2 linked regions of the Sus scrofa genome follow. The protein of the gene in region 1 purifies or fractionates together with the protein of each later gene. This does not show direct contact. Links are inferred from orthologs where the notes say so. Each region holds a gene or a part of one and is shown in the gene's direction. Other genes may lie near its edges.

The links.
Region 2: the proteins of PTPN7 (region 1) and MAPK14 purify together in Homo sapiens (affinity purification with mass spectrometry; 3 studies listed by BioGRID and IntAct, with this or other methods). This does not show direct contact. The link is inferred for Sus scrofa from reciprocal best matches to the Homo sapiens genes PTPN7 and MAPK14.

The regions. Positions count from the first base shown.
Region 1 is NC_010452.4:24,333,627-24,337,703, reverse strand, and holds the start of PTPN7 (tyrosine-protein phosphatase non-receptor type 7), read left to right. Parts: upstream 1-1,277; 5' UTR 1,278-2,561; intron 2,562-3,339; 5' UTR 3,340-3,609; coding exon 3,610-3,668; intron 3,669-4,035; coding exon 4,036-4,077. UniProt on the Homo sapiens protein: Protein phosphatase that acts preferentially on tyrosine-phosphorylated MAPK1. Plays a role in the regulation of T and B-lymphocyte development and signal transduction.
Region 2 is NC_010449.5:31,857,398-31,859,720, forward strand, and holds part of MAPK14 (mitogen-activated protein kinase 14), read left to right. Parts: intron 1-792; coding exon 793-966; intron 967-1,164; exon of another isoform or gene 1,165-1,246; intron 1,247-1,788; coding exon 1,789-1,856; 3' UTR 1,857-2,323. UniProt on the Homo sapiens protein: Serine/threonine kinase which acts as an essential component of the MAP kinase signal transduction pathway.

The DNA.
Region 1 (4,077 bases):
AGCAGGACATGGGCTGGGGGGGGTGGGTGCAGAGCCCCCTCCGCTGGCCCAGCCCCAGGGACCAGGCCTCAGGAGCTTGGTCACCTTTGATTCTGGGCTGGAAGCAGCCCCGCCCGCTCCCCAGGTGCTATGGAACAAGAACTTGCAGGAATTCCTGTGTACCTGCCCCTCTGAGGGCTGCTGACCATGGGAAGAGGGAGCTGAGGCTTGCAGCCTGGGGGGCCAGAGGTAACCATGGGGCCCAGGCAGCCTCTCCCTAAAGGGCAGCTAGAGAAGAGGTGTGAGGAGGACGGGGGTCTACGGGGACGTGGAGCTCCTGCACTCCGGGCCCCCCTGAGCCGCTGCTCCAGCTGACAGCTCCGGACACTGCAGCGGCTGCCACCTTCTGACCAATGGGGGGAGGAACCAGGGGAGGAGCCTGAGCCCCAGGGAGGAGGGGTGACCCTGGGCTGGGCAGTGAGACTCAGCTTCCAACTGCAGCAGGAGCCCAACTCCGAGGGAAAGGCAGCAGCTAGAGCCATCGGAGGCAGGGCCACAGCCCTAGTTGGGGAAGGCAGGGGACAGGAGTCACTTCCCTGCGGAGAGAGCACAGCAGCTGTCTGCTGTCCCCAGCCCCTAGGCCAGGCTGAGGCTTGTGGCCTGGCTCATACTCCAGTGGCATGTCCATGGATGTCCTGGCATTTATTTATTTATTTATTTATCTTTTTAGGGCCACATCCACAGCATATGGAGTTTCCCAGGCTAGGAGTGGAATTGGAGCTACAGCTGCCGGCTCACATCACAGCCACAGCAATGCCAGATCCGAGCCACATCTGTGACCTACACCACAGCTCATTGGCAACGCCAGATCCTTAATCCCCTGAGCGAAGCCAGGGATCGAACCCACAACCTCATGGATACCAGCCGGATTCGTTTTCTCTGCACCACGGCGGGAACTCCTGACCTGGCATTTTTAAGCAAGATGGGCTGGGCAGGGGCCAGAGACAAGCTGACTATCCCCCCACCCCTAACACAGCCAAAGGAAACTGAGATCCTTAGGGTCATGCCCAGCACCCAGCCATGGCCCCCTCCCCACCTCCACCCCCCCGACCCCACCCCCTGGCCTCTGGCTTCCTGGATCTCCACCCTCAGCCTCTCAAAGCGCTGGGAGGGAGGGGGCTCCAGCCAGCCAGGGCTCAGACCCCAAGAACCTGGGGACAGAGCCATGTGGGGAGGGCTCTGCCTGCTTCCTCCCGCCCCTGCGGTACCCTAGCTTCCTGTTCTTGATAACCATCAACAGATCGGCCGGAGCTGGTGGCCCTCTTTCCCACCCCTCCTGTTCCCCTCCGAGACACTAGCAGGCAGGGCCGGTGGGGGTGGGGGGGATCGTTGTGGGGAAGAACACGTTGCACAGGTTGATCAGGGGTCCCAGACCCCTGTCCCCTCCCGCAGCCCTGGGCCTCATCTCAGCCTGAGCCCTGGGCCAGCAGAAGGGAGCCCCCCCGCCCCCTGGGTGCCCACCCCCGGGCCTCTCGTACTTCAGTTCTCTTTTGCTGTCACCCTTTGACAGCTGAATCAGAGAAGTGGGCGGAGGGGGAGGACGGGATCGTTGGGGGCCGCGAGGGAGGGGCGCTCGGAGTGTTCAAGGTGACAGAGGGGCTCAGGGAGAAGGAGCCGGCAGGGCCGCTGGCCAGCAAGGGGCCATCGGCGGGGGACAGGCCAGAGCAGCGGGCTCTTGCTCTCGGGGGCTGCCCCTCAGGCCCAGACACCGGGCTCCCAAGCAGCCAAGAAGACATGGGTGTCCCTGGTGTGAGAGCCGGAGTCTGTCCCCTCTCTGTGAGTCTCTGAGAAGATGTTGGGGTGCTGGCAGGAGGCCTGGAAGGGCTGGGACCAGGGAGGCCCCCGGGGCCCGCCTACAAGGCTTCTCTACTACCTGCTTGCAGGCTTGCGGGCCTGGAGCCGACTAGGGACAGCTGGAGAGCTGGGGTGTGGCTCACAGCCTGGGGATGGCCTTTCGGGCCTGGTCTGAGCCTTCCCCTCGCGGAGCGAGGATTCCTGCCTCCCCGCCCCAAGTCTGCACCCACCCTGCCTGTGCCTGGCGTGAACCCCCACAGCGCGAAGGGGCAGAGGCTTCCAGGGTGAGGACTCCGAGCAGAAGCAAAGAAGTGGAAATCACTCTCCTGCCAAGGACGGCTGCAGCAGGAGCTCTGCGTGGGACGGCAGGGGGCAGGCGGCAGAGCCCTGCCGGGCAAGTGGGCAGGGGCTGGACGGACTGGGTCGGTGGAGCAACACCGCGGGAGGAACCTGGTGGTTAGCAGGGGCCCTGTGCCCCGTCTGATTCCACCGAGCAGGGCCTCGGGCCGGTAGCAGAGGTGCTGGGTCGGGCCAGCCGGTCCCCAGAGGGGCAGAGGCAGGAGGCAACCGACCCCTGGTGGTGGCAGCGTGCAGCTGGGTGTGCGTGGGTGGCAGCGAGGAGGGGCGGAGGGAGGAAGCGGGCTTCCTGAAGGCTTCTCAGCCCTCAAAGACAGACCGACAGACAGACAGACAGCTGGCAAGAGGCGCCTGGGGACACAGCTGCTTCAGTAAGTCCCTGAAGGGGAAGGAGTCCCCGGCCAGGGTGGGGGGACCTGCAAAGACAGGAAGGGAGGGTGTCTGCAAAGAGGACGTGCAGGAGGGGGCGGGGGGGTCATGGGCCCGGCCGGGGAGTGGGCGCTGACCCAGCCGATGTCCCTGAGGGGGCAGGCAGGGAGCCCAGGGGGCGCAAGGGCAGGCAGGGCCCTCTTGCTGCCGAGAGCCTCTGCCACCCTCATCCCAGGGCTGCTCGTGCCTCACCTCTGTCCCCATGGGCTCGCGACCCCAACACCCCCACCCCAACTTGGACCTGGTCTGGGCAGTGGGGACTGGATCCTAGAGGAGGGTGCCCCACCACCCCCGGGCCCCTCTGGTGCCCCCAGCTGTCGCCTCCCCATGTGCTGTGGCTCAGGGCTTGGTGAGGCCATTTCCTGTGACAGTTACAGAGGCGGGATGGGGGGGATGGGCAGGGAGGAAGGAAACACCCCCAGCCTGCCTCCTCGGACAGGGACCCCAGAGATCCAGTGACCCTGGGATGGCCAGCAGCTGGGCCCGCAGCCCCCCTGCCTGGGTCGCAGGGCTTCCAGGGTGGCCAGAGGCCTCCACCCTCTGATCCAGGAGAGACCCCAGGGGGTGTCTCTGAGCCCTTCCTCTACCCAGAGCCCGTGGCCTCCCCGTCCGGGCCCAGCTTAGGGCTCGGGCAGCCCGTCCACCCTGTGCTCCTGGATCCCCTCCTGTCTTCACCCACCATCTCCATCCCCCTCTCGTCCTTACTCTCACCCGGCCCAGCCCTGGGGGCCCCCACAGAGATCCTGGCCTTCCGATGGTGAAAACACAACCACTTCCTGGGGAGCAGAAGACAACTCAGTGAAAACAGAGGTGCCGGAGGGCAGAAGGCTGGCCTGGGCCTGGGAGCCTCCCCCCTGGCCGGTCAGTCAGCCCAGAGGTCAAACCTCATGGCCGAGTGAGTGTTCCCTGGGCCCAGCCTCCCCGCAGCATGATCCAGGCCCCTGGGGGCACCCCAAAGCATACTTGCGGGCCTCGCCTTCTGGGGCAGCCATGGCCCAGCCTCCACCTGACCAAGCGCCAGCCAAGAAGCACGTGAGGCTGCAGGAGAGGTGAGACTTTCGGTGGGGGGGTGCCTTCCCACCCCAGCCCCTCTGCTGCCCCTCCAGCTGGATCCTGTCACCCCAGGCTAGAAAGGAAACCAGATGTGCTCATTTGCATGTCACTTGCATGCCCTTTACCTGTGTGGGGCAACCTTGCACACAGGTCTACCCTGCATCTGGGCCCTGAGCCTGGATATGGGTCCAAACTTTAGGGGCCAGGCCAGGAACAGGGAGTGGGGGCAGCTGGAGGGAGCAGCTGGGCTCAGAGCTACCTGCTCTGGCTGCCCAGGGCTGGGGTGTCAGCTCGGAGTCAAGGGGAAGACTAAGGGCCGCCCCAGATCATGATTGTCACTGGACGCCGGCTCCTGTGCTTCAGGCGAGGCTCCAACGTTGCTCTGATGCTGGATGTGCGGTCCCT
Region 2 (2,323 bases), on another chromosome or scaffold:
CCTGGCCCAGGAACTCCTCATGCTGCTGGGCAGCCAAAAAAGAAAAGAAAGAAAAAATACAACATCCATCCATGCACGTGCACACATATATTTAAAAGAGGAAAGGGGGAGTTCTTGTCATGGCTCCGTGGTTAACGAATCCAACTAGGAACCATGAGGTTACGGGTTCAATCCCTGACCTTGCTCAGTGTGTTAAGGATCGGGCATTGCGATGAGCTGTGGTATAAGTCACAGATGCGGCTCAGATCCCGAGTTGCCATGGCTCTGGCGTAGGCCAGTGGCTACAGCTCCGATTCGACCCCTAGCCTGGGAATCTCTATGTGCTGTGGGTGCAGCCCTAGAAAAGACAAAAAAGACAAAAACAAACAAACATAAAAGAGGAAAGGGGAGTTCTCGTTGTGGCTCAGTGATAATGGACCCAACTAGTATCCACGAGGTTCAAGGTTCCATCCCTGGCCTTGCTCAGTGGGTTAAGGATCCAGTGTTGCCATGAGCTGTGGTGTAGGTTGTAGACCCAGCTCAGATCCCTCGTTGCTGTGGCTGTGGCCTAGGCTGGCAGCTACAGTTCCCATTCAACTCCTAGCCTGGGAACTTCCATGTGTTGCAGGTGTGTCCCTAAAAAGACCAAAAAAAAAAAAAAAAAATAAAAGAGGAAAGGAGTAACATCCCAGAATTGAAGGAGAATTCTTTGTTTTGGTGTAAAAGGTCAAAACTGTGTTTTGCTTAATAAAGCATACATTTTTGGCAGTGTGTTAAAAACTCTTTTTTCCTTCCAATCTGCATCACTGATAGCTGTTGACTTGCTGGAGAAGATGCTTGTTTTGGACTCAGATAAGAGAATTACAGCAGCCCAAGCCCTTGCGCATGCCTACTTTGCTCAGTACCATGATCCTGATGATGAACCAGTGGCTGATCCTTACGATCAGTCTTTTGAAAGCAGGGACCTCCTTATAGATGAATGGAAAAGTAAGTCTGAGCATGATGAACACGTAGCTTTAAAAATCTTTGCCAGGTGAACCACAAACCAAAAGCTGTCAGTGGGGGAGGGCAGGGGGGTGGGGGGTGGAGGTGCGGACTCCTGGTTAAATCCAACTTGTTAAACCTTGTCGTTAGGTCTCTAATGCAGAATGAGTATGTTCCTCTGATGGAAACTGTCTGTTGTAGATGATGACACTCTGGACCTTTGAGATGCTTCTGTCTGGTCTGATTTTGTGCACAGCCCCTCACGTCTGCATAGAACTTTGAGGTTCTCAGAATTTTTGCATTTATACCATCTTTCCCAGCTAAGTAGGGGATAGGGTGCATTTACAGTTTTATAATTGATAGAACTTGGGTGAAGAAAGTTAACATCTTAACTGTTACCTTAGACCTAATTAGGGACACAGCCAGAAATAGAACCCAGGTCTCCTGTGCTCAGTTTCATAGTCTCTCCATAAAACACACATTCAGAAAACTCCAGTGAAATTTCAAAAGCCAGGACTATCTGTTGCTACAGCAAATGGGATTACTACGTTATTCTCAAGCATCTTCAGAGAGTTTTAAAGAGGAGGCACTGGATGATTAAAGAAGCAATAAAGGATGCTTCTCTTGTATGTATCCTTGAACTTCTGTGGAATCACATGTTCCATCAGGATATCACACACAAACGGTGAGGCAGTTATTTGAAGTGGCCCATGGAACCACTAGTCTGGACAGGGAGGAAGGATCTTGAGCTTAGAAGTTAGGGTGCTTGCCAACAAAATGAATAGTCCGAACTTTCACGTCCTCCTTTTCCTTCCTGATTTCTAGGCCTGACCTACGATGAAGTCATCAGCTTTGTGCCGCCACCCCTCGACCAAGAAGAGATGGAGTCTTGAGAATCCGGTTTCTGTTCTGCTGATCCCACTTCACTGTGAGGGGAAGGCCTTTTCATGGGAACTCTCCGAATATCATTCAAGTGCCTCTTGTTGCAAAGATTTCCTCCGTGGTGGAAGGGGGGGTGTGTGCGTGCCCATGTGTGTGTGTGTGTCTGTCTGTCTGACTTTGTGGGAGGGTAAGAGATTATGAGCAAACTATGATCACAGTGACTTTACGTGGAGCGACCCCTGCTCCGTGGCAGTCTCTGCTTGTTCTTTGTGAAAGTCAGCTGGGCAGCAGGAGCTGCCATCTTGTTAGGGCTTCTTAAAAGCAAAGTAAAAAATGTTAAACATCCCAGCCCCCAGTCATGCTTTTGCCATTTTGGCCTCTCCTGCGGCCACCCTTGTTGGTAGGGGTTTGGCTTGACCACACCCCGCAGAGGCACAGAAGAAGGCTCGCACCGTCTGTTCGCTTCACATCTGAAGCC